4 linked regions of the Elephas maximus indicus genome follow. The protein of the gene in region 1 purifies or fractionates together with the protein of each later gene. This does not show direct contact. Links are inferred from orthologs where the notes say so. Each region holds a gene or a part of one and is shown in the gene's direction. Other genes may lie near its edges.

The links.
Region 2: the proteins of SNRPF (region 1) and MEPCE purify together in Homo sapiens (affinity purification with mass spectrometry; 4 studies listed by BioGRID and IntAct, counting the BioPlex papers as one, with this or other methods). This does not show direct contact. The link is inferred for Elephas maximus indicus from reciprocal best matches to the Homo sapiens genes SNRPF and MEPCE.
Region 3: the proteins of SNRPF (region 1) and DDX23 purify together in Homo sapiens (co-immunoprecipitation; 3 studies listed by BioGRID and IntAct, counting the BioPlex papers as one, with this or other methods). This does not show direct contact. The link is inferred for Elephas maximus indicus from reciprocal best matches to the Homo sapiens genes SNRPF and DDX23.
Region 4: the proteins of SNRPF (region 1) and CDC40 purify together in Homo sapiens (co-immunoprecipitation; 3 studies listed by BioGRID and IntAct, counting the BioPlex papers as one, with this or other methods). This does not show direct contact. The link is inferred for Elephas maximus indicus from reciprocal best matches to the Homo sapiens genes SNRPF and CDC40.

Annotation. Positions count from the first base shown.
Region 1 is NC_064822.1:161,191,563-161,198,493, forward strand, and holds the start of SNRPF (small nuclear ribonucleoprotein F), read left to right. Parts: upstream 1-3,910; 5' UTR 3,911-4,040; coding exon 4,041-4,043; intron 4,044-6,300; coding exon 6,301-6,426; intron 6,427-6,931. UniProt on the Homo sapiens protein: Plays a role in pre-mRNA splicing as a core component of the spliceosomal U1, U2, U4 and U5 small nuclear ribonucleoproteins (snRNPs), the building blocks of the spliceosome.
Region 2 is NC_064830.1:91,844,393-91,852,193, forward strand, and holds the start of MEPCE (7SK snRNA methylphosphate capping enzyme), read left to right. Parts: upstream 1-4,786; 5' UTR 4,787-5,885; coding exon 5,886-7,583; intron 7,584-7,801. UniProt on the Homo sapiens protein: S-adenosyl-L-methionine-dependent methyltransferase that adds a methylphosphate cap at the 5'-end of 7SK snRNA (7SK RNA), leading to stabilize it.
Region 3 is NC_064822.1:104,287,653-104,295,556, reverse strand, and holds the start of DDX23 (probable ATP-dependent RNA helicase DDX23), read left to right. Parts: upstream 1-4,896; 5' UTR 4,897-4,987; intron 4,988-7,904. UniProt on the Homo sapiens protein: Involved in pre-mRNA splicing and its phosphorylated form (by SRPK2) is required for spliceosomal B complex formation.
Region 4 is NC_064819.1:176,117,235-176,124,445, forward strand, and holds the start of CDC40 (pre-mRNA-processing factor 17), read left to right. Parts: upstream 1-4,204; 5' UTR 4,205-4,245; coding exon 4,246-4,434; intron 4,435-7,211. UniProt on the Homo sapiens protein: Required for pre-mRNA splicing as component of the activated spliceosome. Plays an important role in embryonic brain development; this function does not require proline isomerization.

The DNA of each region.
Region 1 (6,931 bases):
TGCCACCAGTGCTCCATAAAATAGAGTACAATTAGTGTTAAAACAAGATAAGATTGTGTAGGCCCATGTGACAGGATAATAACCTGAGGAAGACAGCGAAAGCTTCAGTTATAAAGTACCCATTTGAGCTGGACCAGGAACATTAAGATACGGAGGAATTTTCCAGGCTGAAAGTACTTTTAGGTGAAGGGACTATCAAGTGTAAGAACATGGCCTGTGGTTCTGGGAAAGGCTTTTGTTTGTGGGACAGAATGGAAAGAGATGAATCTATAGAGAAAAGCTGGCAAGGATTTGTTAAGGCTGCTAGAAATGGGTAACCAGAAAGGTTGGTGAGCAGAAGAGCAATAATGTCCAGATCTCCATTTTGTTTTGGAGGAGGCGGGTGTTTGGAGATACCTCTGGCAACAGGGTAAAAAGACGAAGAGGTAGAATAACCAGCTTTATTTCTAAAATTTGGTCCAATGGAGACATTTGAGGCATGAGGAAAGGTGGAAGGAGGTTGAAGGCAAAGGAAACTGGGGGGGGGGGGGGGGGAATTCCATGAGATGCAGGTTTTATTCGTTTTGTTTTTTGAGAACAGTGAGGTCTCCATTTATAGAGGTTCACTTCAAAGTTCCAGGCGGTCAATCAGATGTTACTCAAAACACCATTGCCACCTTGTGGACATATGGCTAAGAACTGAAAAGGGTTTAATGTTAATATTTAACACTAGTCATCTAAACCTAAACCTAACCTGCTGCTGTTGAATCAATTCCGACTCTTAGTGACCCTATAGGACAGAGAACTGCCCCATAGAGTTTCCAAGGAGCTTCTGGAGGATTCAAACTGCCAACCTCTTGGTTGGCAGCCATAGCACTTAACCCCTATGCCACCAGGGTTTCCAGTGGTCATCTAGTTAGTTAAGTGATTCCCAGCCTTGAAGGCTTCTCTTATTATCTACCCTCCCTCTAAAATGAATCTATGAATAAGTGTCATTTATTGACAATTTACTTTCCCATTTATATAAATGTCAATTACAGCTTCTGATCCATGATAATCAACCAGTATTTGCCTTCTGATTTCATTCTAATCAAAAGCAGAAAGCATGAGGTTTTAGTCAGTCCATACAGTATTCATTAAGATAACTGCACAATTTTTTAAGTTTTGGGTTTGTTCGTTTATTTTTAAATAACGAAGACAGTTTTCAAAGTCCCAATACTGTATGCAGAGCGATCCAGGTTTAGGGGCTAGCATTTATAAACCATTGATCTAACTCAGATTTTTCCCCCCCCTTAAGCCTATCCTGGCCATGATAATTAATTCTGACCATAATTATAAACAAAGAAAATATTGAGTATTATGGGAATAAAGGAGAGAATATAAAAGGAAGAGCTCATCAATCTCAAAAGTAACTTCCTAAACTCTATCTTCCTCCACCCTGCATTCATATTGGTATTTCTATGTATTTGCTCACTTGTTCTCTACTCTAACTCAGTTTGGGGAGAGGTAGCAAGTATAAAGGAGAAATCCTGGGCTTTGGAGCCACTTTCAGTCTATGTGGCCTTGAGCAAAAATACTTAACCTCTCTGAATGTGTCTCATTTCTAAAATGGGAAGATTAATACTTACCACGAAGTGCTGTGAGGATTTAAGTAAGATCCCATCGCTGTGGAATTGACTCTGACTCATAGTGACCCTATAGGACAGAATAGACCTGCCCCATAGAGTTTCCAGGGAGTGGCTGGTGAATTTGAACTGCCGATTTTTGGTTAGTAGCCAAGCTCTTAACCACTGTGCCACCAGGGCTCCTCAAGTAAAATAAATTACATGAAATACCCTTGTACAACATGGCAGGCGCTCAGTATGTATTAGTTCCTTTCTTCAAAAAAGGTTTTAAAGTTCCAGGAGGGCAGAGATCACACGTCCATTTCATTCCCCACTATTCCCCCCGAGTGCCTAGTTCACAGTATCAGTACTTGCTGCTGTTGAATGGATTCCTACTCACGGTGACCCCACGTCAGAGTAGAACTGTGTTCCCTGAAGTTTTCAGTGGCTACTTTTTCAGAAGTACGTCAGGCCTTTCTTCTGAGAAGCCTCTGGGTGGACTTGAACCTCCAACCTATCAGTCAGCAGTGAGGTGGTTAACCGTTTGTACCACCTAGGAGCCTGTAGTAAACCCTCAATAAATATATCTTGGTCATTTAATAAATTACTTTTTAGACGCTTATTTACAGCTAGGTTTCATCCTAATTAATAATTGAGGAAAGTTCCCTCAGAATGTGCTCAAGATATATTCTTTCCCATCTCGAAAAATTTCCCCCAAGAGGAGCCCTGGTGTGCAATGGTCAAGCATTGGGCTGCTAACCAAAATTTCAAAGGTTCGAACCCACCAGCTGCTCCTTGAGAGAAAAGACCTGGCAATTTGTAAAAATTACAGCCTGGGAAACCCTATAGAGCACTTCTGCTCTGTCCTTATAGGGTTGCTATATGTTGGAATCAATTTGATGGCACACAACAACATTACCCCCAAATTAAAACTGATTATTCTGGTGGCTATTCTGTTGAACCACATACAAATATGGCAATAAATATATTTTAAAACCTTGAAAATAATAATGCCTATTAACTCAAGAATTATACTCCTAGGAATTTACTGTAAACAATCAGAGATACATTCAAAGATTCATGTAAAATTATGTCCAAAGCACATCATTTATAATGGGAAAATGGAAACAACAGAACGATTAATAAATGATCACATATTCACAAAACAGAATAATGGAGACATTAAACCACACTTCAGAAGCATATTTAATTATATGAGAATTTTCCCAATATAAAGTGAAGAAAACAAGTTACAAAACGGTATGTAGATTATTTTTTAAAACAGCATGCGTTACAATAAATAGTACATTAAAAAAGTTAATTTTTTTTTGATTGGTGGGATTATCAGTGACTTTTGGTTTATTTTTTAGAATTTTCTGTATTTTCTAAGACCCCCACAAAATGTACAGCATTTATAATTAGAAAAATACCAACGACTTTAAGGTATTTAAATTTAATATTTAACATGAGAAAAAATCAACTTCAAACATCTTTACACAGATTACTGTAAGATACTGTTTCACTTCACAGAGAAAACAGCAAAGTCAGATTTCTAAGGTATATATTGAATGACTGAAAGGATGCTTTAAGTAAGTCAAAAAGCAGAGTTTGGGGGTTGAAACTCAGTTATGGAATAGTGGGCAAGTTACCTGCTGAGCCTGTTTCCTCATCTCTAAAATAGGGCTGTAACTGCCAAATCAAAATACTGTTTGGGAAGATTTCTATGATAACAACTGTGAAAGAGCCTAGCCCAAAGTAGGAACTCAAAGTCTGCGTAAAGGCTAAATATTTATTGAATGATCATCAAACTAAAAGAAAACTCACGGAACTTTGAGATAAATAACTCCAAGAACTGCTTGGCTTAAACTATAAAACCCAAAACCAAACCCGCTGCCGTCGAGTCGATTCGGACTCATAGTGACCCTACAGGGCAGAGCAGAACTGCCCCATAGGATTTCCAAGGAACGGCTGGTGGACTGGAACTGCCGACCGTTTTGGTTAACAGCCGAGCTCTTTACCACTGCGCCGAAAGAGCAAAGGAAACCTCTATTAGCCAAGTTGACGAGAAATCACGTCCGTTCTACACGATATATAGCATCTCCCAGGCGGGAAGTCAACACAAGGCTTTTCCTGCCACCCCATCGAGGAAGATGGAGTCGGGTCCCTTAGCCTTTGAAGTCCGGCCGAAGACTCCTCACGGGTCTCGAAGCCCGGAAAGCATGCCGCTGGTTGCCAGGAGACACTGCACAGCCACCTCCTCCAATCAGCACGCGTCTCTTTGTGCCCAATCAGAGAAGCCAGACGGGCTGGGTTAGAGGTGAAAGGTCACGCTGCTTTTTGGCGGCCATTTCTCTTGGAGTGCCGCGACTCCGGGCCTAGAGCGGCTGCTTCGATCACGAGGGACGGACAACAGCTGGGTCGGCGGCGAGGATCCTACACCATTCACCCGTAGTCACGATGGTAAGGAGAGAACGGCGTGAGTCGCCGGAGAGGGAGAGCGACCGGTCTAGACAGGCCTGGTAGTTGTTTCGCGCGTTCCCCATTCATCCATGTGAGAATCCGTGAATCTCGCCGCCAGTCCCTTTCTCCCTGAGTTGGGGACTTTGAGGGCCTCCCGGTGCCCTCCCCTCCCCAGCATCCTGCTCTCTTTCCCGCTCTTCTTCGTTTGAACCCAGGCCTGAGGTTTCCTACCTGACCGAGGCCACAGGGCCAGGGTAAAGATGAAGCGGGACTTTGGGACGCTCCATTTTCACTTCCTGAGTATCACACTCCACAATCCACTTTGATTCAAAGATGTTAGGACCCCCCGCCCGCAGCCCTCTGGAACCCAAAGCACAGGCTTTGAAGCATTCGTGTATTCGTTCCGGAAATCTTTATTGTGCGCATCCACCTGTCAGTTACTGTTCTAGGCGCCAGAGGTGGTGGGTGAAAAGTACTGATGCGGACCCTGCGCTCTGTGTGAACCCATAGTGGGATGTGGGAGACAGGCATTGATCAAATAATAACAAATAAACATACAGTTACAAATAATCCTAAGAAGGAAGCAAACAGGATGCTTCGTACATTAGATAGGTGATCAGGGATGGCTGCCCTGATAGACGGCATTTGACGGTACATCTAAATGACATGAAATACGGTCCCTTAAAGAACAGGAGAAAGAGTGTACCAAGCACAGGGAACAGGAGCAAAGCCTTTAAGGCCGGGAAGAAAGCTTGACATTTTCCAGGAGTTGACCCAAAAGCCACAGTGCTTCTTGTGGAAAGAGGAGTTATGAGATAGGGTCAGAGAGGCAGGCATTGAGCTGAACCTTTTAGGCCATTTTAGTAGGTTTGGATTTTACTTCAGGTGCAATTCGAAGTTATTGAAGCATTTTAAGCAGAGGTGTGACATTCGATATATACCTTAAAAAATAATAATACTTGCTGTATTGTTAATAAACTGGAGAAAGATGAGTGAAAACTGGACACCTATTAGGAGGTTATTGCAGTAGATCCTGTGTCCTGTGAGATCACTCTGAATATGCTTATCTTAAAAGGATTGGGTAGCTAGGTTTCTTGGTTCTTTCCTTCCTTTGAGCTGATGGGAAAGCAAATGAGGGAAGGAGAAAAGTCTGAATTCACTGGGGATTCTACTGTTTTGCTGAATAAACAAACATTAAGTGAAACCCTGGTGGCCCAGTGGCTAAGAGCTTGGATGCTAACCAAAAGGTCATCAGTTCAAATCCATCATCCGCTCCTTGGAAACCCTATGGAGCAGTTCTACTCTGTCGTGTAGGGTTGCTATGAGTTGGAATCTACTCAACAGCGGCGGGTTTGGTTTTTTTGGTTTTAAGTGATTGCCTACAATATGTAGCAGGCGCTGCTGGGCATTGGTAATACAAAGCCAAATAAGACCTAATCCTAGCCCCTAAAATTAAAGTGAAGGTTCTGGCCCCTGCTTGCTTCTGTAGCCTCATGTCTGGGTACTCTGACAACACTGAATTGTTTGTATATCTCTGAGGTCACCTTAGGAGTCCCTGGGTGGTGGTTTCAGTTAAGCACCCAACAACTAACCAAAGGGTTGGTGATCCGAACCCACCCAGAGGCGTCTCAGAAGAAAGGCCTGGCATGCAGTTACCACGAGTCAAAATTGACTAGGGCAGCTGGTTTGAGCTTACCTTGTTGCTACACCCTTAGCTGCTTTTACATCAGTCCTTTTTCTTCTCCGGAAGCACCTCTCTTCCTTTAAAACTGAGGCATTACTTATTTCAGGCAACCTTTCCCCCGTATTGGTTCAGTACTCCAGTGTGTATCTGCACTTGGTACATCTGTCCATCTGTATGTATCCCGCCCGCCCCCAGCCCCCGCCAGCTACTTGAGGACAGAGACTATATCATCTGCTGTTTTTTTTCTTTTTTAGTGTCTTCACCTTTGTTTCTTTAGAGCCTGAAACAGTCTTTCTTAAGTGAATAACAAACTTCTAAAAGTTTTGATGAGTTGAAGATGAAACTGGCTGATTGGTTGTTTAAATTTTCCTGGTGCTTTTCAAAAAATAATAGTCAAAATTATGTATTAATTTTCACAATTTAAAAAGTGAAAGGGAATCAAGAGTTTGCATCACTTGGATACATAAAATATTGGTGGATGATTTGGTAGAGAAGAAAGCGTGGTGGAAGCCAAGCTAAGGGAAAAGAATCAATTGAGTCCTTTATTATTGTTATTATTTATTCCTTGTGCAGAGTTTACCCCTCAATCCCAAACCTTTCCTGAACGGATTAACAGGAAAGCCAGTGATGGTGAAACTTAAGTGGGGAATGGAGTACAAGGGCTACCTGGTATCTGTAGATGGCTATATGAACATGCAGGTAAGCTAGAGTTACAAAAGTTATAAAATTGTATTTATTATATTCCACCTTGTTCCTCAGAGGTCTTAATGTGGCTTACAGAATGCATACAATGAAACTGACAAATATAAAGCAAAATCAGGAATAAAGTCAAGGCCGGGAAGATGCTGTAACTCTGATATACAAGGTACAAGACTTGGGGTTAACCCAGAGTTCAGCCACAGATGATTCCTCGTGGTTAAAGTAAGAAGAGCTCAGACATTTGATTCATAATGCCATAAGGGAAACAAAAGAGTATGCTGGAGAAAGCAAAACTTTTCCCAGCACTTAGCTCTGAAAGAAGTTTCTCAAGTGAAACTCCTGAAATGTTTTTTAATGAATGCTAAAGGGACAATACCAAAGTAATTAAAAAATCAAAGCATTTCTTAACGGGGAAGACAGGCCAGACAAAGGGATGGATGGACTCACTGCATGTCTGTTAAATTAGCTTCTATAAATATTTTAGCCAGGTTTTTGATGAAAGAGT
Region 2 (7,801 bases), on another chromosome or scaffold:
AACTAAACCCATTGCCGTCAATTCTGACTCATAGTAAGCCTACATGACAGAGAAAAACTACCACCATAGGGTTTCAAAGGCTGTATTTCTTTATGGCTGCCACATCTTCCTCCTGTAGAGTGGCTGGGTGGGTTTGAACCTCCAACCTTTCAGTTAGCAGCTGAGTGCTTTAATCACTGTGCCACCAGGGCTCCTCCACAAATGACAAACATATCTTATCCTGGACTCCAGAATTCCAAGAAAAAGAAGCCCCTGTGAAGGTAATCTAAATTAGAAGAGCTATACTGGGAAAAGCAAAATGAAAATTAGTATGCTTGAGATTATAATATTTGATTTTTTAAATATATACCTATGCAATACACTTGCATATCTATACGCTATCACTGGAAGAATACATGAGAAACTGTTAAAAGTGCCTCTGGGGAGTGGAACTGGGTGGCTGGGGACAGAGTAGAAGGAAACTTTTCACTGTGTCCCCTAAGTATCTTTGGCATTTTATAACATACATACATTACCACTTCAAAAAATGACTTTTTAAATTTTAAATTCTTTAAGTAAAATAAAAAAAGAGTATTTTAATCAACCTAAAATGCAAAACTTTCCAATATTTAGGCTCAAAATCTTATCTAATCCTGTACAGACCTATCTAGGCTAAAGTGTGCTTCTGGAGCCCCAACGAACTAGATAAAATTATGGATCGTTGTTGAATTAATAAGATGTAGTAAATCTATAAGAAGTGATGTATAATTAAAAAAATAATAACAAGTTGCCCTTGAGGACATCCAATTTCTTAGATTTAGAAAATCTATAGAGGGTTGGCTGTACAGAGACTACAGGCAGATTTATTTTATCAGCTAGTTTGCTGTTTTTATTTCATCTCTATTCTCTCTCTAATCCTTCTTCTCACTGTACAAGAAATGTTAATGGCATTTCAGTTTCTTTTGGTCATCTGTTAGATTCCATGTGACCTCACTCCCATGTGGCCTTACCTGATCAGATGGGGTGTCTACACCTGACCCAAGGGCAACTCATTGAAAACATGAGTACAACTAATTAGAGTACTTTGTTGGGAATTTAGAATTTGCAAAATTGAATACTAGAGTTATTATTGTTGGGAACTCCAGGCAACAGGTGAAGAGCAGTGTGGTCAAGTAGATCATGCAGGGTCAGAAGAGATGGAGCCATACATGCACGTGTAAGTGAACAGGCAGAAAGACAAACTGCAAAGGAGAATGGAGCATGCGGGAAGAGAGGATGAGAGACAGAAGAGGGACAGAATGAGAGGAAATAAGAGTGAATGTACACTTTTGGCTCCCAGTCCCTGGTCTCTGCTCTCTTGAGGTCAACTACACTTCAGTCTCTTTCTTTTGGTCTCTGTGAGATTCTTCTGAATCCTTGCAATAAACATTTTGTTTCTTATACCGAAAAAAAAAAAAAAAGTTGTCCTTGAGTTGATTCTAACTCACAGCGACCCCATGTGTATCAGAGTAGAACTGTGTTCCATAGGGTTTCCAATGGCTGGTTTTCCAGAAGTAATTGCCAGGCCTTTCTTCCAAGGCACCTCGGGGTGGATTCAAATTTCCAACTTTTTGGTTAGCAGCTTACTGCATTAACCATTTGCACTACCCCTTAATCTAGATTGGGGGTATGATGAAGAACATTACTTTTAAAGAAAAGCTCTAACCTGATCCAAAGAGAATGGAAAGCCAGAGAGTCACTTTCTGACACTGTTCCTCTGTTTCAGACGAATTCTTCCACAATAACAAATATTAAAAGCTAATAGAGAGAGAGAGAAAAAATAGACAGTTGACAAATATACAAAATGACTGTAGGCACTAGACTCCGGAATAACATTTGAGGTTTTAATTTGTTTTCTCACCTTAGATGAAAAGGTAAGGAAACAAAAAAATTCAACAAGGCTTTATGTAAGAAAGTAAAAGAACCAGGATAGTTCCATAAACACAATCTCACCCACTCGACATATAAAAGAGGGTGAATAAGCAGAGGGAAAGAACTTACAAAGAAATAATAAAAGAAGGGTGAATGAGGCTCTCCAAAAACTAGAAACAGCTTTCTTTCACTTAGAACACTAAAAATTATCACATTCATTTCTAAATGAAATCACCTAGCGTGGCGGTTCTCAAAGTACGGTCCAAAGACCCCTGGGAGACTCCTCCCTTTTCCAGTTATATATCTGTGTTAGGTTGGATTTTCTCATATACTTCAACCAAAACAAGATGTCAGGTTGAATACGGAAACATGAGAATCCAGCTGTCTTCTAATAAGGCAGACACAAAAGAGATTTGCAAAAATATAAAACAATGCCATTCTTCAAACTAAATTTTCTTTTGTTTTGGAAAATGTATTTTTCATTAAAAATGTTAATTATGGTAACATGTAATGGGTTTACGGAGCCCTGGTGGTGCAGTGGTTACAACCCCAGGCAGCTAACCAAAAGGCCAGCAGTTCGAATCCAGCAGTTGCTCCTTGGAAACCCTATGGGGCAGCACTACTCTGTCCTATAGGGTCGCTATGAGTCAGAATCAACTCGATAGCAACAGGTTTGGTTCCTTTTTGGTTAATGGGCTTATGATTGTTATTTTTAAATTAATTATTAAGTAAATATTTTTAAATTTTCTATTTTAATTTCTAGTATTTCAATACGAATAGTTATAAACCATATAAACAAAAGCTTTCTGGAGTCCTCCACAATTTTTAGGAGGACAAAAAGGTTCTGAGACCAAAAAGTTTGAGAATTGCTCTAGCTAAATAATTCAGTCTTGCAACATTTCTCAAAAAACTTTAATCCTCCTCTACCCCATTTAGAATGTGCTCAAAATTTACAAACAATAAAACTGTTCCCTCCTTATATTATGTCTGGAATCCTGGGTCTAAAAGAACAAAGGTAAACCTTAGAGTTGTCCTCTAACACACACTCCAGAGCCTAAAAGACATTAAAAAAAAAAAAAAGAAAAGCCTATATTTAAAGCTTCTTTAAGCCTGAGTCTAATTTTCTTCAGCCTGTATGTCTAATGGCATGTGTACTCCTGCTTATTTTCATGCCTGGATAACTAGTACTGGTTTTTATCTCTTTTTGTGCTCAACAGGCATGATCTGAAACAAAACTTTTTAACAAGAAAGAAAAAGAAACAATAAAGATTCCAGCTACCCTTACTGACCATTATACATGTAACAAGGTATTTACTGTCGCATCTAATAGTACCTGCCTGAACTAAACTTTGTACAGAATCTTATAAAGAAATTAATGGTGAACTAAAACCTCCTGATTCAGAGAGTGCAAGAGAGCACAGACATGGCCACTTACCATGGCCACTTATCACCAAAAGAATCTTTCGGGGACTGCTGATATCTTTTATATTCTTCCTACCACAGACGCACACATTTCCCAAACTGGTACCGACCTCAAACTAGCATTGTTGTACTTAAAGGAGCACATCCCCGTAAAACTCCCAGATCCCCACACCATTGCCCCTCAGAGGGTGTCAAGGTTTGGAACCGAAAATGCCTAATTCCCCCTTGAGAAACCAAAGACAAGAACTTTGAAGGATCTGTATTTTTGCTCTCTCGCCTCACCAATTTCTCTCAGGGACAGCAATGAAGACCTGACATATCGCACAGTTAAATATCCTTAACTCTCCTCAGAAAGTACTGTATAGTGGCTTTCTAGCCTCTCTTCCACATCAAGAATCCTACCAGGAGGGAATTTCTCCTCAGCTAACCCTACTGCTGAGGTATCAGGATTCTTATTCCCGCTCAGATCGTCGTTGCCCCCCATTACACTGTGGCATTTTTGTTTGTGTTGAGGGTGAGGTTCAAGTTAGATTCTAAAGCGGAGGGGTAAGAGCTGGTTGTCGCCCTGAAGAGACAGCTTCTCCTCAGACAACAGGTACTGGGATCGCCCGCGCCTAGCAACTGCATCTGCAACCTAAGAAGAGTCTAATACCTTCTAGAGCGAGGAGCACCTAAAAGCAAGCAGTAGAGTGAGCACCTGCAGCGATTATGCAAGCCCCTACAACCTGGATCCAGTTTTCCCGCCACGAAGAAAAGGCGCGAGGACGCGCACAAGCTCCACCCCCCCAGCGGCGTGCTCACGAGGCCGAAGCGCATGCGCAGCTGAAAACGGCTTCTGCGCTTGCGCGCGAATTATTGCCGCCATTTTCCAATCTGTAAAACTACAAGTCCCATAATGCTCACTGCTTCACCCGTGTTTTAGGAGGCGGTAGCAGCGCCTGATTGTTCCTGAAACACTTCTTTCTTCTATTATCTTTCCTTCCCACTCTGCCTTGTCCTTCTTCTTTGCTTTTCCTGATGCCTATTCTTCCTGTTAGGCCCCTTCACGACCTTATTTTAACACTTTCAGCCTATCCTTAGCCCCACTCTCCGCCTCTTCTCAGCCATAAGACCTGCATCCCCAAGCACTCTGTTGGGAAAGAAAACGGGCCACCTATCACCCTGTGGAAAGAGCGTCAAATAACTTTCCCTCATTGGCCGAGACAAGGGGCCCCAAAGCAGGCCGATTCCTCTTCTCCGCCCACACACGTTTTTATATAAGGCGGCGCGAAGCCGCAGCGTGCGTTTGGGAAGGACTGCGTGCGAGGTGGTGTTGGTGGGTGTACTGCTATTGGTGGGTGTACTGCTATTGGTGGGTGTACTGCTATTGGTGGCTGTGGTGGGCGTCGGGCTGGTGGGCTCGTGCGCAGGCGTCGGATGGCGGGCGGGGGCGTTGGTGTCCGGACTGTGGGTGTGGAGGCGGAGAGGAGGGCGGGGTGTACCTAGGTGATCGCGATTGGGGGAACGCGGAGGAGCGAGAACCACTCAGCCATTTCGGCACAGGAGGAAGTTGGAAAACCTTGGCTTTTTTAGTGTTGTTTTTCAGTCCAGCAGAGAGTATTTTCGGGGGAGGGGGGTGAGTTAAAATGATCTATTGCATATTACTGAGAACAGTTCGTAGGAAGGCGATCAGTACACTCCGATCCTTCCCTTCCTCTACCTTTAGGTTCACTCCTCGGCTCCCTCTGAAGCCCTAAGGGGATGGGCTAAGGGGGCAATTCGTTATGAATAATTCATGAGCCCGCCCCTTTTCTTAAGAAGCCACGCCTTTCCGAGCTGCGCTGACGCACGTTGCGTGTCCCAAACCTGAGGAAGCGACGTAACAGTCCCCGCCCATAGGACGGAGGGCGGGGTGTCGTCTCCAGCACGTGCTGCTTCTACCCGCGCAAGCCCAAAAGGGTGTGCGCAGGCGCTTCTCACTAGGGGAGGAAGGAGGCGGGGTGGGGAGGTTGTTGGGTTGAGCGCCGGGCGGAGACCGCTGAGACTCATTCCTCAGGAACAAGGGTCGTGTGTGAAGGAGACCTTTTCACACCAGCTCCCCGGCCCCCGCCTACGGTGGGTGGGATCGCGCGGCAGAGACAAAGGATATCAGTAGGGACGGACATAGCCACGAAGGGAAGTAGGGTGTCAGCTTGGGGCGGTGGGTTTTTGGGGGGCTAAGGGAGAGACTATATTTAAACTCCCTGGAGCCGTTAAGTTGGTTCGTACTCCGATGCGCGCGCAACCAGGGTGGTGGCGGTGTGCGCATGCGTGATTCTGGGGCCAGGGGAACGCGCTTAAGTAGTGCGCGCTCGCGATTAGGTGGTAGTGGTGGAGGAGAAAGGGGTCGGCGCAAGCGCGGTTGGTTTCTCGAGTTCGGGTCTCGCGGGCTTCTTGTTTTGGTCTCGCGGGCGAGCAGGGAGCGAGACTAGGCGAGAAGAGCAGAGCTGCGTGCGCACTCGGGAAAGGGGGGAAGGGAGCAGGGTCTAGGAAGGGGGGTGAAGCCCCCTGATCCCCCCTCGTTACCCTCGGCTGGGACGGAGTAAGGGGAGGAAATGATCGAGATGGCAGCGGAGAAGGAGCCGTTTCTGGTGCCGGCCCCGCCGCCGCCGCTCAAAGATGAGTCGAGCGGAGGGGGCGGCCCCACGGTGCAATCGCACCGAGAGGCCGCCTCCGGGCACCTCCGCGGCCGGACAGAACGCGGGCCGGGCCCCCGCGTACAGTCGGCGGGGGCCCCGGCTTTAGGGGTTGGCAGGGAGAGCCCCGGAGCTGCATCCGCCCCTCGAGCGGGCCAGTCGCAGCAGCAGCAGCAGCGAGGGGGCGGCCCCCAGGCACAGTCTCACGGGGAGGCCCGCTTGTCGGATCCCCACGGGCGGACCGCTCACTTGGACGTGGGGGAGGAGCGACGGGGAGGGGGCGGGCCAGAGCTGTGTACCCCTGCCCCTCCTCGGCCTCGTAATGGCTACCAGCCCCACAGGCCCCCTGGGGGGGGTGGAGGCAAGAGAAGAAATAGTTGTAATGTGGGGGGAGGTGGCGGAGGCTTCAAACATCCGGCCTTCAAGAGGCGCAGGCGAGTTAATTCGGACTGTGACTCTGTGTTACCCTCCAACTTCCTACTGGGGGGCAATATCTTTGATCCACTGAACCTGAATAGTCTTCTGGATGAGGAAGTGAGCCGCGCACTCAATGCAGAGACCCCTAAGTCATCCCCACTTCCGGCCAAGGGGCGTGATCCAGTGGAGATCCTCATCCCCAAAGATATTACTGACCCCCTCAGTCTCAATACTTGCACTGATGAGGCCCAAGTAGTTCTTGCCTCACCACTCAAGACTGGTCGGAAGCGGCATAGACACCGGGGACAGCACCATCAGCAGCAGCAGGCATCTGGAGGAAATGATAGCCACTCCTCCGTGCTTCCCCCAGCCCCCCTCACTCCTTCACTTCATGGGGAGGGCGCCACGCAGCAGCAGCAGCAGCAGCAGCAGCAGCAGCAACGGCATAGAGGCCAGAGCCGGGATGCCCCGCAGCCCTATGAACTCAACACAGCCATCAACTGCAGGGATGAGGTGGTGTCTCCCCTTCCAACTGCCCTACAGGGTTCCACAGGCTCCCTTTCAGTCCCTCCAGCTGCCTCAGTTACCCCTGCACCCCCGTCTTCCTCCTCTCGACATCGCAAACGTCGCAGGACTTCCAGCAAGTCGGAGGCAGGGGCCAGGGGTGGAGGCCAGGGTCCCAAAGAAAAGGGCCGAGGGAGTGGGGGAGGCCGCTACCACCACCACCCTCTCCCTGCAGCAGGCTTCAAAAAGCAACAGCGCAAGTTCCAGTATGGGAATTATTGCAAATACTATGGGTACCGCAATCCTTCCTGTGAGGATGGTCGCCTTCGGGTGTTGAAGCCTGAGTGGTTTCGGGGCCGGGACGTCCTAGATCTGGGCTGCAATGTGGGCCATCTGACCCTGAGCATTGCCTGCAAGTGGGGCCCATCACGCATGGTGGGCCTGGATATCGATGCTCGGCTGATCCACTCTGCCCGCCAGAACATCCGACACTACCTATCTGAGGAGCTGCGTCTCCCACCCCAGACTCCCGAGGGGGACCCAGGGGCAGAGGGTGGGGAAGGGACCACCACCATCCGGAAGAGAAGCTGCTTCCCAGCCTCGCTGACAGCCAGCCGAGGTCCCATTGCTGCACCCCAAGTGCCCCTGGATGGAGCGGACACATCAGTCTTCCCCAACAATGTTGTCTTCGTCACGGTAAGAGGGTCTTAAGTGCATTAACTCCTCACTAGGAGAACCAGATCCTCGAGAAGGGTCTGAATTAGCGAGTGAGTGCCTCCACTGGGTGTCTCTCCCTGCCTGTAACCTGGGAGAGGTGGGGTCTCTAACCTGGGGTCCTTTCTCCTGACTGCAGTTCTCTTTCCCAAGACAGTGGTTGACTCGTTTTGCCCTGCTTCCAGCCTGGGCTATGTCCA
Region 3 (7,904 bases), about 57 Mb from region 1:
GTAGTATTCCATTGTATGTATACACCACATTTTGTTTATCCATTCATGGGTTGATGGGCATTTAGGTAGTTTCCACCTTCGGACTATTGTAAATAGTGCTGTAATGAATAATGATATATAAGTATCTTTTTGAGTCTCCGCTTTCGAGTCTTTCGGGTATGTATCTAAGAGTGGAATTGCAGGGCCATATGGTAGCTCTATTTTTAATTTTTTGAGGAACTGCCATACTGTTTTCCACAATGGCTGAACTATTTTGCATTCCTATCAGCAATGGATAAGGGTTCCAATTTCCCCACATCCTCGCCAACATTATTTTCTGTTTTTTTTTTTATCTTAGCCATCCTAGTGGGAATGACATGGAATCTCATTGATTTGCATCTCCCTGATGGCTAATGACAATCTTCGGCATCTTTTCATGTGTTTGGTGACCATTTGAACACCCTCTTTGGTGAAATCTCTATTCAAGTCCTTTACCCATTTGATGATTGGATTGTCTTTTTGTTGTTACTGAAGTTTTATATATATTTTGATTCTCTGCCTTCTTGACCTTCTGATTCCATTGTTAATGGCTGCTCAAGTTTCAGAGTACAGTGCCAAAAATAAAAAGTTACCATTTATTGAGTGGAGCCCTGGTGGAACAGCAGTTAAGAGCTCGGCAGCTAACCAAAAGGTTGGCAGTTCGAATCCACCAGCTGCTCCCTGGAAACCTTATGGGGCAGTTGTACCTTCTCCTATAGGATTGCCATGAGTCGGAATCGACTCAATGGTAATGGGTTTGGTTTTAGGTTATTTTTTGAGTACTTACTATGTGCTCAGCACTGTACTGAGGGCTTTACCTACACTTTCTCATTTAACCTAAATTATAATAGCTAACATTTGTTCAATGTTTGCTGTGGATCAGGGGCACTTAAGAGTTCTTTATATTTTATTCCTTATGATAACCCTAGGAGGTATTACCTACCTGGTTTTACAGACAAGGAAACCAAGGTTCAAAGAGATTAGTTACCGTGCCCAAAGTCACATAGCTGCAAATTGGGAGAAGCTGGATTCAACTCCAGGCACTCTGGCTCCAGAACCTGTACTCTTTCTTTTTTTTTTTTTAATTTTTATTGTACTTTAAGTGAAGATTTACAAATCAAGTCAGTCTCTCATACAAAAACTTATATACACCTTGCTACATACTCCCAATTGCTCTCCCCATAACGAGACCGCCTGCTCCCTCCCTCCACTCTCTCTTTTCGTGTCCATTTCACCAGCTTCTAACCCCCTCCACCCTCTCATCTCCCCTCCAGGCAGGAGATGCCAACATAGTCTTAAGTGTCCACCTGATCCAAGAAGCTCACTCCTCACCAGCATCCCTTTCCAACCCGTTGTCCAGTCCAATCCCTGTCTGAAGAGATGGCTTTGGGAATGGTTCCTGTCCTGGGCCAACAGAAGGTCTGGGGGCCATGACCACCAGGGTCCTTCTAGTCTCAGACCATTAAGTCTAGTCTTCTTATGAGAATTTGGGGTCTGCATCCCACTGCTCTCCTGCTCCCTCAGGGGTTCTCTGTTGTGCTCCCTGTCAGGGCAGTCATCGGTTGTGGCCGGGCACCATCTAGTTCTTCTGGTCTCAGGCTGATGTAGTCTCTGGTTTCTCTGGTTTATGTGGTCCTTTCTGTCTCTTGGGCTCGTAATTACCTTGTGTCCTTGGTGTTCTTCATTCTCCTTTGATCCAGGTTGGTTGAGACCCACTGATGCATCTTAGATGGCCGCTTGCTAGTGTTTAAGACCCCAGACGCCACTTTCCAAAGTGGGATGCAGAATGTTTTCTTAATGGATTTTATGATGCCAATTGACTTAGATGTCCCCTGAAACCATGGTCCCCAAACCCCTGGCCCTGCTACACTGGCCTTTGAAGCATTCAGTTTATTCAGGAAACTGCTTTGCTTTTGGTTTAGTCCAGTTATGCTGACCTCTCCGTATTGTGTGTTGTCTTTCCCTTCACCTAAAGTAGTTCTTATCTACTACCTAATTAGTGAATACCCCTCTCCCACCCTCGCTCCCTCCCCGCTCTCGTAACCATCAAAGAATATTTTCTTCTCTGTTTAAACTATTTCTCGAGTTCTTATAATAGTGGTCTTATATAATATTTGTCCTTTTGCAACTGACTAATTTCACTCAGCATAATGCCTTCCAGATTCCTCTATGTTATGAAATGTTTCACGGATTCATCACTGTTCTTTATCAATGCGTAGTATTCCATTGTGTGAATATACCATAATTTATTTATTCATTCATCTGTTGATGTGCTCCTTGGTTGCTTCCATCTTTTTGCTATTGTAAACAGTGCTGCAATAAACATGGGTGTGCATATATCTGTTCATGTAAAGGCTCTTACTTCTCTAGGATATATTCCAAGGAGTGGGATTGCTGGATTGTATGGCAGTTCTATTTCTAGCTTTTTAAGGAAGCGCCAAATTGATTTCCAAAGTGGTTGTACCATTTTACATTCCCACCAGCGGTGTATAAGTGTTGCAGTCTCTCCACAGCCTCTCCAGAACCTATACTCTTAATTGCTCTGCTGTCTCATCCTGTGAGGCAAGCGGTATTATTATCCCTGGTTTGTAAATGAGGAAATAGAAAAACCAAACTAATGCCATATAACTTGCACAAGATCGCAGTACCAGTAAATAATTCAGTCAGGATTCAAACCTGGTCTCAATGTTAGCTATAATGCCGTGGGTCCCTTACTGTTAGCCATGTCATATGTAAATAGGAGACTCTGCCTATGGCCTTCCTAGGGCACAGTCCCTCTGTTTCTGTCTCAAAAGATGCATGTTTGGGAGAGAACCAGCAGGGTAAGACAAACAACACTGAGTATTCTTTAAGCTCAAGATCTTATTTGTATTATGAGAGAGGTGTGTACAAGTACTAGGAGAACTATTAATGTGGACAGCCTTTGTCACCTTTCTGGGTCTCAATAGCCTCATCTTTAAAGATGGTGAAGAATGGTAGTCTGGAAACAGGGAAAGAGCATGGACTCTGAAGTCAAATAAACCTGGGGTTGAATTCTAGCTCCATTCTTTTAATTATGTGGCCTGTGAAGGCTTAAATAACCTTTCTGGGCCACGATCAGAGCCCTGGTGGTTAAGGGATGGGCTGCTAACCAAAAGGTCAGCAGTTCGAATTCACGAGCTGCTCCCTGGAAACCTTATGGGGCAGCTCTACTCTGTCCTATAGGGTCACTATGTCAGAATTGACGCGTCGGCAGTGGGCTTGGCTTGGATTGGGCCACAATCTCCTTATCAGTAAAATGGAAATAATACCCATCTCATACAGCTATGAGAGCTAAGTAAACTAAGTAACATAAGTTAGGGCAGCACAGAGTTCGGCACTTAAAAGATTCTCAACAGTAGCTGCAGCTCTTAGATTTCCAGGCTACCCCTGTGGGTATAATTTAGTTGGGGTTCCATTCTGTGAGTGGAGAGCCCTCTAGGGTTCACTGGGTGAATCACATCTCGTAGATCTTGGGCTTCTTTTTTTCTTTCACTTATTTCTGGGGTAGAAACGGAGAGAAGGTCAAAGCCTTAAGAGTTCCAAGAGCAGAAATGTGCAATGATCCCAGGGTTACTTTGGGCCATTGTGTGTGATGCTCAGGGTTTTAGGATTTCATTATTTGCGTCTATCCTGAGGCTTTGCTTGGAGAGAACTGAAATCATATTCAGAGAGAAAAGCCAGACTACAGCCCAGCGGGATAGAGACAACAAAGCTGATGATGGGAAAATTGGAAGAAGGCACTAAATACCTCCTGGTATCTAAACATCCTAGAAGTTGCAAGAGTTTTGTTTGTTTTGTTTTTTTTAGAGGAAGCATTATGAACCCATAAGCCCAAAGAAAAACAAAATGAGCACATAATATGGGGTTAAGGAATTCAGTGGAGGAGTGAAGAGGGGGTAATAGGAGGAAGAAAGAAGTGTAAATCCCAAGAAGGCCCAGATCCAGATCCAAAAAGGCAAGGAAATGAGAAAGCGAGGGTCCTACCTGGAATGTGGAGAAAGAATGTTGAGAAAACGGGTACCACAGCCCAGGGATACTTCCCTCCTAGGAGGACTCTGAAATGTGTGGGTTCTTTTTGAGTTGTCACAATAGCTGAGGTTACCGGCATTTACCCCCGAGGGACCAGGGTTGCCTAAAAAGTCCTCCAAAGGGTGGGATAGTCTCGCACAAAGAACTGTCCCGCTCTTGTGAAATACTAGGCTACCCCTGTAACCTAACCCTTAGTTCGTCCATCTTTAAGACGGGGCTAATAATCTCGAACCTCACGTTTTTGCAAAAACGGCTCTCCACAAACGGTTGTAAGTACTTGCTGTTGATATCTAATGAAACTCTTAAATTCTTCCCCTGTAAGCCACAGGCCATGAGAGTCGTTATGACTGCAGTTTCTAATAATTTAAAAAAAAAAAAACAAAAACTTGCAGTGGCGTGGATTCCGACTCACAAGGACCCTGCAGGACAGAGCAGAGCTGTCTCACAGAGTTTCCAAGGAGCCCCTGGTGGATTTGAACATACCAACCTTTTGGTTAGCAGCTGTAGTTCTTAACCACTACACCACCAGGATTTCCAATTTCTAACGAGACCATCATATTCCAGGAAGATTACGCAGCTGAGAACCTCTTGCGGGAACTCAGCCGTCGGAAAACTAACCCCCCGCCCCCGCCCCCGCCCCCGCCCCGTCCGGGTCCCGCCCCTAGCCTACTCAAAAGTTTTGGCGAACCACATTGTCCAGCAGACCCCGCGGCCCGCGGCCTGGCGCAAGCGCTCGCGCCGTGCACTCTGGGACTGGTAGTTCTCATTCTCCCGTTGTCGGCCCTCGCTGCCCGGTGTCTGAAACTCGCCTTCCCAGTTTGCCGCGCGGCCGGGGGCGTACCTCCGCGACCAGGAAACGGGAAAGATGGCGACTGCTTCGCGACGTTGAGGCCGCGTTGGGCGGTTCAGAGTCAGGGTGGTGAGTCCCGGGCGATGGAGGCGGTTCCCAGGAACTTGCAGAAAGGGCGGGAATGGGAGTATGGTGGTGGCACATGCCAAGGGGGTAAAGAATGCCTCAGGGAAGGGACACGAGCCCGAGAAGGTCCTGTGGGCTGGGGCGAAGGGGCGCGGGGCCCCAGGGGCGGTGTTGGCTCCTGGGGGGCATAGGCCAGTCGACGATATTACGGGCCCAGACCTCCGTCCAAGGACACAGCACCTGTGATATGCCCAATCCGACCTTATTCCTTCATATTTCGAGTAGCCCTTGTTCCAGCCAAACGAACTCCAGCTTTTCTCCCAGAACCAATCTATGCTTTCCTGCCTGTGCACCTCCTGTATTATTTCTTTTGCTGGGAATGACATTCTTTCCGTACCCTCAGTTATACATCTTCAAATTCTACCTATAATTAAGACTCAAGAGCCACTACCTCTACAGAGCCTTCCACATCCCCTCTCACAAATGAAAGGAAACTCCTTGTTTGAACTCTCCTTCATCTGAGCCATCATCTTGGCATCTGTCCACTATATGTGTCTTCTCACTTCTGTTGTACTATGAGCTACTTGTGGACAGGGTCTTCCTCATTTCCATTAGCAACTCACACAGTGCCTAGGGTGCCTTGCATATAGGGAATGCTTGATAAAATACTTCATTGAGCGGGTATAACTCTCTAGATTGTAGATACTTGTTATTTTTGGTGATGGGAAGAGTAGCTCTGAATGTGGGTGTAATGAGCACAGCTTGACCAAAGAAAATGATGCCAGTAAGAACCACACAAGAGAAAAGGATATTTATACTAAACAATGTGACATATGTAACTTGGCAACACCAACAATAACCAAAAAGTGAGTGTATGATCACATATGTAGGTGTATAGGTACATTTGTATATAGGTAGGTGCAGATGTATACATATATGTGCACAAATAGAAGTATCTATGTGTATGTGTATATAGAGATAGGTGTGTGCACACATATTCATAGAAGATACTGTTACAGGTACTTCTCAGATGTAACCAAATACTTTGAATGCTTAGGATCTTAGCCTCATGGGACAACTCAGTCAGTTGGCATAATATAGTTCACAAAGTTCATATTCTGCATCCTACTGAGGTGAGTAGCATCTGGGGTCTTAAAAGCTTGCCAGCAGCGGTCTAAGATCCAACTACTGGTCTCTGCTCATCCAGAGCAAAGGTCTCAGAGAAGAAACTAATCTATAGGGTTAGTAGCCTGCAGGAGCCATAGCCTCATCTGCCCTGAGCCTGGAAGAACTATATGGTGCCTGGCCACCATTACCAACCATTCTTATCAGGGCCACAGTAGATGAACCCTGATAGAACAGGACTCAAATTTTTAAGAAGTCCAGTCCTACTGGACCAGTTGAGGCTAGAGGAGTCCCTGAGACTATTACCATGAGATCCTTTATAAACCTTGAATGAAACTATCCTCTGAGGTCACCTTTTAGTGAAATAACAGATTGGCACACAAAATAAAGGACATTATTTGTGAGTATGGTGCTCTATTAAAAAACCGTGTGTATGAAATTAGAAGATCAACAATTAAAGCAAAGATGAGAAGATAAGGGAACAGGGAAACTAGAATACTGGAAATGGAACAACCAGGTGCAATTAAAGAGGATGTTGACACATTGTGAAAAAGGTAACTACTGTCGCTGAGGAATTTGTATAGAGATGATCAAATGGGAACCTAATCTGCTATGTAAACTTTCTCCAAAAACTTAATATAATATTATTAAAAAAAAAAAAACTTCATTGAAAGCAAAAAAGAATCTGCCTCTGTCCTACATGAACTGAGGAATGCCAAGATTTAGAGGTTTGATAGGAGGTTACTTGGAAGCAGTTGGTCAGAGTCAGCCTGATTATCTGACCCTTGTGATAAATCCCACTGCCATTGAGTTGATTCCGATACATAGCTACCCTATAGGACAGAGTAGAACTGCTCCATAGGGTTTCCAGGGCTGTAAATCTTTACGGAAGCTGACTGCCACATCTTTCTCCCTTGGAATGGCTAGTGGGTTTGACTTGCTGACCTTTTGGTTAGCAGCCAAGCTCTTAGTAACCACTGTGCCACCAGGATTCCTATGTGATAAGTAGAACCTACAATAAAAGTTGCCTGTATTCACTGTTTTCGTATTCTCACTTCTCATTCTCTCCTCAGCTCAAACCACTCAGGCTTCTCTTCCCTCCATACCAATGAAAAACAGCTCTTGTCAAGGTCACTAACAATCTCATTTTTCCAAATGCAATGGCCACTTCTCTATCTCCTGTTTTTTTTCTCTACCTCAGTAGTAGTTGACACAGTTGACCGTTCCCTCCTTGAAATACTTTTTTGACTTCTGTGATGCCATGCGTTGCTTTTTGTTGTCCTTTCTTACTGGCTACTGCTTCTTTCCAGTCTTTTTCTCTGGCTCCTCCTCTGCCTGATCTGTAAATGTGGGAGTGTTCCAGAGTTCAGTCCTGAGTCCTTTTCTATTTTCTTTATATTGCCTAAACCAGAAAAAAAAAACCAAACCCGTTGCCATCGAGTAGATTCCGACTCGTAGCGACCCTATGAGATGGAATAAAACTGCTCCAAAGGGTTTCCAAGGAGTAGCTGGTGGATTTGAACCACTGACATTTTGGTTAGCATCCAAGCTCTTAACCACTGCGCCATCAGGGCTCCATTTATATTGTCTGCTTAGGTAGTAATTATCATTTAGTGCCCCGTGGCTTTAAAAATCATCTATGTTTTGGAGACTCAGATTTTTGTCTCCAGTCCTGAACTCTCCCCTGAGTTCCAGATTTGCTTATCCATCTACCTTTCTGGAATCTCCACTTGGTTGTCTTATTAACATCGTATTCTCAACATAGTCACAGTGATACTTCTGATTTCCTCCTAAA
Region 4 (7,211 bases), on another chromosome or scaffold:
CCCGCCAATGCACCTCATTTGTAACCACCACTAGTCTATAAGTGGAGGCTTGTGGAGCTTCTAGACTAAGGCAGACTAGGAAGAAAGGCCTGGTGATCTACTTCCAAAAATCAGGCAATGGAAACCCTATTGATCAGTTGGGGACCAACTCAACAGCAGCCAATAACAATTCAGACATTTAACACAGGATTTAATTAACATACATATTTTTATTAATAGATTGCTTGAAAATAAGATAAGTCAAAAAAGAAACAAATTTCTATATTGATCAAATTTGGGTAAAACAAAAAAATTAATGTACATTTTTATGAAGTGAGATATAAGGGGTGAGAATAAAACTGTTAATATCATTCCACAAGTGAAAGTTGCCTATTTTTACATTATTCAGTATCTAGTGCTATTTTTAAAAATGTGTGGGTAAAGTAATTATGAACTATATCTGAAGAGGTAAGTGAAGTTCAGAGAGCCCCAAATACATTCTTCCCTTCTCTTCTCTGAGATAAAGCTATATGATGTTCCAGAAATTAAAATTTGTTTGATAAATCTAAATTAATTCACAAAAAAGAAATTACAAGTAGTAATTTTAAAGACACATTTTAATAGTCTTATTTATGTGAAGTTTTCCCATTAGGTAACTGAAAACACTTTTGGTAAAAGTACTTATAATGTAGTATTTTAATAGTAGTTTTTGCTATGAAAATTGAGTTAAATTCTTCAATAAGCAAATCAAAAATTACTATCTTCTATAGTAATAAAAACCAAACACTGAGAAAAGATATCTTAAAGTACTCCTGTCTACTGTGGTAATGAAAATCAAAGAGAAAGGATTTCATAAAGTATTCTTATGATAAAGTAAAATGTATGGTTACAGCCTTATGCAATATTAACACATTGTCTCTGAATCTACGGTTATTTACAAACCTGAATAACAGAAACAGTAGCTCCATATCATACCTTACAAATGATCACAACTACGTATTCTGGATTTTCTAACCTGAAAAATTTGCAATGAAAAAGATCTTAAGATTTTTTATAAATTTTATCTTTCACAAACTTACTCAATGTTTTACTTGTTTCATTACCAAGTCATATAATTTTTTCATTAATATTAACTATTTTCACATAGATCAGTAAACCTAAAAAAACTCTTGATGGATGAGAAACACCCTTCATTTTAGAGCCATTCCTCTCCAAAGCAAAATTCAACGTAAATGAGGCATTCCAATGTATGAAGGAAAATTATGACATTTTTCATTGCAGTTTACACTGAGCTATTTTCATTAGTCATCAACTAAAATATTCAAATATTCTTTAAATGTATTATGAAAACATCTTTACTGAATTTATTCACACTATCTAGTCATGTAAATCAGTATTATCTTCATTTACCTGTAAGGAAACCAAGGCACAAAGGTGTCCATTTTGTAAATTGCAAGGTCATTTCCTAACCAAGAACCTGAGCCTACACCATCAAGTTTTATTATACATTTGCCACTTCCAAGTGCCAAAAAACAATTTACTGTACCTTAAAAGAACTGCCTCTGCAATACCTATGTACAATTTCATTTTATCAGAAGTGTGAAGGATTAATTCAACAAGATTAAACAATGAAAGCTGGAAAAAGAGGACTAAGAAAATAAAAACACTCACTTTGGAGCAGTGAAAAACTTTAAATAACAACATGTATATTTTTTTTAACATAATCATCAAGTAACCAACAGTTGTTTCTTACAGTTTCAAAAAATATTTCATCTTTCAGGTAGATCACATAAAAAGAAGCCTATCCATCCTTGTAGACAGAAGTTAGAAAAATAACGGTAAATTCTGTAAGAAGTAATTAAATGCATGACATTGCCAAAGAAAAGAATTGAATAAAAAAAAAATTAAGTAAATTAGGGAACGTTCAATACGGCAGTTAAAATCCCATCTTAAATATTAAATCCTCCCTTTCATTCAACTGGAAACTATTAGCAATCAAATATCCTCCTACTGAAAATACAAAACTTTTCTTAATCAAAATTAGAGAAATTGTGTATCAAATACCTTATTCACAAATTTGACAAATTAAAAAAAAAAAAAAACTTTTCCCAAAAGAAGCTTGGAGCATACAACAAAACTGTTAGAGTTCATGTGTTCGTAAATACTGCACTTGTAAATAGGATAAATGTAGTGCTATCAACAATTAGAAAATGGAAGTTACCTAACATCCAAAATAAAGTACGTTAAATAAGACGTACTGAATAAGCAATAAATCAATTGCTGAACAGAAATAAGATTTAACCAGCACGTGAATCTAACACTAAAGAAAAAAAGTATATTGTAATGCACATCTTACATAGAAAGGGATAGGATTAAACTGAGCCATGTTAAAATACCTAGTGTAGCTAGGGATTAACTAACTAATCGGTTATAGGACAGGTCGTGAATGTTCAGGTCAGATGTGCTGTCTTTTCATCATTATTTCAGTTCCTCAAGTGCAAGAGAAGGCGTCAGGGCGCCGAAGCTAGGGGGCATGCTGTAGCAAGGGGAAAAGAAAAATGGGAAAGGTGCAACGGATGCTGCATAGTTGAATAATTATCTGGGTGGCACAATGGGCGAGTCCTGCCGACATCGGAGCTGAGCGAGCAGCTCCTTAACTCTGCCCGAGGTACACCCTGCCGAGGCGCCTGCCCCGTTTCGCATCCTCTTCAAACGAATAAAGGGTCCCCCACTCGCTTTACCGTTATGTCTTTAGACACAGACGAGCGGCACAAACACGCAAACGCACAAGCTTGCTTTACAGAGCAGCGGAAACGTAGAGGCAGCAGGGGCTTCTCCCCGACCCAGTGCTGCAGCCTTCCCCAAAGCTAGGAGGCACGGGGTCTGGCCGTGGGTGCAGGTGGCCAGGGGAGCTCCGGCGACGGCACCTCAGGTGAGACCCGCAGTCTCTTCACCTAAAGCACCCCAGGGCGGCCCCTGCAACCGAGACCCAGGAGCGCCCGCCGCCGTCTCCCTCAGCACCCAGCCCGGCGGGCGGGTGGGCGGCGGGAGATCGGGAACCCACGAGTGGGGGTGGGGACCATCGCAGGGGGCAGGCGCGCCCATCCCCGTAACCTTTGAGGGGCTAGAGATCCCCACACACCTCTCTCTGTTCCGAATGCTGAGGAGCTCCTCTACTAGCAACCCCCAAAACCCCCACCCTCTAAAAAAAAAAAAAAAGGGCAATTCCTGAGAGACTCGCGCTCACCGTGAAATCTTAAGGGGGCTCTTGCTTACCCCTTCTTCATGCTTCGACGGTAGTCGCTGAGCTCCCTGGACTCCACCCGGAGCGCCCAGGAATGTCGGGCTCTGGGGCGGAACCCACTCCCGGCAGCGGCTAAGGCTAAGAGGGACAGGGACTGCCGCCTACGGCGTCCGCCGGTCGCCGGACTCAACGTGTGCCCGACGCGCCAGCGAACAACACCGCGAACCGCCGCCGCCGCCGCCGCCGCCGCCGCCCCCCCCACCCGCCCCCTCCCCGCGCGCGACGTTCCACAACCGGGCGAGGGGACCCGCGCCAGAAGCAGGGGGGACGGCTGGACTCTCATCCATCTAACCTTCCATCCTTCCCACCAGGAACTATTCCCCGCCCATAAAGGTCTTCGAACTTAAGACTTACGTTCCTCTTCAGTCTCCAGCGCCCAGGTGTAGCCCTTGTGGGAAACTCAGCCTCCGCCCACTCACCTATCACTAGGGGGTAAGAATCGCTATTCCCCTCTTTCCTGAGGATGTATGGTATTGCCCTATCCTCAGTTTGGGGGAGGGGGACGGAGAGAACAGCGCTTGGCTAGGGAATGAGGGAAGATGATAGCCAATTGAATGAACCATCTATTCAGGGGCGGGGTCGAGAGAGGACGGCCCTCCGCGCCCCGCCCCCTCACTCCAAACTACACTTCCCATTGTACCTTCTCCCACTTCCTGCCGCGCGGCACGCCGGGAGTTAGGACTTCGAGGCCTCAAGGTGTTTCGGAACTGGTAGTCTCCGAGTCAGTCAAATAGGTCCTGAAAGCTATAAGTTATTTAATTGTCTCTGTTTCTCTAGATAAGTGTTTCCAAATTTTTATTTCTCCTGTGGTTATTATACTAATAATTAATTTGTTGTTTTAAAATGTTATAAATGATTTCTTAGCGAAACGAGGTAAATAATGTGTTCCATGGTAATCTGTCAGGACCTGCGTGCCACTTCTTCCGCCGGGGCCTGGTCTCGGCAGAAGATCTGTTGCCGTCATGTCGGCTGCGATTGCAGCTTTGGCTGCTTCCTATGGTTCGGGTTCAGGGTCCGAATCGGACTCGGACAGTGAGGGTGGACGGTGTTCGCTGCCAGCCGCCGATTCCCTCATGCACTTGACTAAATCGCCTTCTGCCAAGCCCTCTCTGACAGTGGCGGTGGACTCGGCTCCGGAGGTGGCAGTTAAGGTAAGCACTTTGGCCGCTGCTGCGGTGCGGGATTTGTCCCAAACCCGGCAGCCGCGAAGGCTCCTTAAGCCCGGAGTTACCGCTTCCTTACTACTGAAAGAGAAATTGCTAACGCTTGGATTTCTTCTCCCTATATGCGTCTTCCTGGAGAGAAATCGAGAACTGGAATTTTTTTTCACTGTTTCCTGCCTTTATCTCCTGCCCTAAGAAAGCAGTTGAGAAAGTGGGGTGGGGGGAAGCGGTGAAATTTGAATTTATGGATTGGGACGTGGCCTAGATAGAGCAAGTACAATCTCAGTATGAGTAAAGCTACATCAGAACTGCCCAAACTAAAATGCGTGAATTTGGGCAAATTATGCAACCTCCCGTTTCCTTGTCTGTTCAGCGAAGGTAATTGTAACAGCACTTACATATGTGAGAGGACTATTTTGAAGGTTAAGTGAAACGATACAAATAAAGCTAATAGCACAGTGCGTGGTACCCAGTGAGAGTTCAGTAATTATTAGGTATTTTTTTTTTATTATGTATGTTATTACATGTTAGAAAAGGACCTTGAATTTAAGAAACAGTGTGCATGATCGCAATGGAAGAAGTAATAGAGGGAGATGTTCGGTTATTAAGTTTATTCAACATATTTACTGAGCACGTTGTTATTTGCCAGGAACTGTATTAAGGACTGAAGACTCAGGTGAACAAGCCAGACATCCTTGCCATCATGATCCATACATTCTAGTGGGAGAGACACAATAAAAAATGAGCAAATGAAGTGGTTATAGATTGGACTCAGAAGAGAAACCATGCAGTACTATGGTAGAAAATAAGATAGGAATATGCCTTGAGATAGGTTGGTCAGGGAAGGTCTCTCTCAAAAGATTGGACCTGAAGAAAGACAAGAAGCCAGCTATGTACAAGCTAAGACAAGAGCTTCCAGGCAAAGGGGATGGCAAGCCTTGAGATGGCAAAGAGCTTGGCATGTATGAAGAACAGAAGAAAGACCCATGTGGTGGGAGTCTGGTGAAAACATCCATCAATGTGGACCCAGTAGAGCCTGATGGGGTGATCAGAAGCTCAAGATATAGAAAGGGAAGGCAGTGTGCAAAAATTCCTTTGTATTTAAGATGTTTCAAACCAATATAGTAAGTCTTTTACAGGGTTTTAGTAAGCCATTTATGAATTTTATTTTTTATTAATGAACATCTGGCATGAAAGAATGCTTAAAGCTCTTCTATCTAAAACAAAACAACACTCGCTAAACTCATACTCCTCCGGCAACCTCCTGAGGTGACATTCCTTCAACAGCTTAGCTTTTTGGAAGAGGGAGCTGCACTCCCTCTCTTCACTTCATCTCATTTTCTTTTCAATCAGAGTCTGGCCCTAGCCTCTCGGGAAACTACTGTCCTTGAGTAATCTAGAATCAGAAGCCTTGTAATTGTCAAATTCTGTCACCTGGCTGCATCAGGTGACTCTTAAATAATAGTTCATCATTCTTGTAAGTTTTTCTCCTTTTGGCTTCCATGGGGCCAACCTCAGTCTTCAGGGCCACTGACCTGTCTCCCCTTTCAATATTGGAGTTTCCCCAGGCTCCGTCCTTAGTTCCTTTTGCACTCCACCTACTGTTCCATGATTTCAGCCTCTGTCTCTATACTCTGATGACTTACAGATGAACGCTATAAAGTGGTTAACGTGGGTTGTGGTGGCATCAAGACTGCTAGGATTCAAATCCTGTCTCTAGCAATTACCAAATAGTAACCTTGCATAAGTTACATAAGCATTCCGTGCCTTAGATTTTGGCTGAATCTTACTAAACATCTCTCCCGGGATGGCTGTCAGGCGCCTCAGATTCAATGTGCTCAAATATTAACACATTTTCTTTTCATCAAAATCTACTCTTTTCCTGTTTTCCCTTTTTGACTACTGACCTTACAACCCACCCATGGGTCCAAACCAGGAACAGAGCCGTAATCCTTTTCTTCCTCAACCCCTGAAGCTCATCATTCAGCGGATTCTAACATTTCTGCTTCATTAATTTTCTACTCTCACTTCATATGATCTTCATTTCTCCCAGGAGTTATTTTTTACTTTTCTTTCTCTCAGCGCTACTTTTGAATCGTGGGACCTGGCCATTGTAACTCATTTGTTGATGTTTTGTACTGTTGAGTGGATTCCAACTCATGGCAATCCTATGTGACCTAAGCCGTAATCTTTACAGAAGCGGAGTGCCAGGTCTTTGCGCCCACGGAGCTGCTGAGTAGGTTCAAACCGCCAACTTTTTAGTCAGCATAATTCATTAGTATTTACCAAATCTCTTTTCTGATGCCACTCTTCAGTTTAGATTCTTATCATTCCCCTTCAGGTCAATTATAATAAACTCATAACTTGCCTTTCTATTTCCTCCTTCACATTCCTTGCTCCACAGTGCACCCAGAGTGATCTTCCTAAATTTCAGTTTCATCCCTCCCCAATAGCCACCATGTTTGCCTACTGGGTAAAATCAAGTTCCTTACGTAGCATATGAAACCTGCCATGCTTCATGCTGAACTCTTTACAAAGCCCCAAAAGCCTAATTTTCTTTTCTCCCACCCTCCTCAAGATTTTGCCCATGCTAGTCTCTCTGCCATATTTATGCCTATTCCCAAGAAAGGTGATCCCACCAAATGCAGAAATTGTTGAACAATATTATTAATATCACACGCAAGTAAAATTTTGCTGAAGAACATTCAAAAGCAGCTGCAGCGGTATATTGACAGGGAACTACCAGAAATTCAAGCCAAATTCAG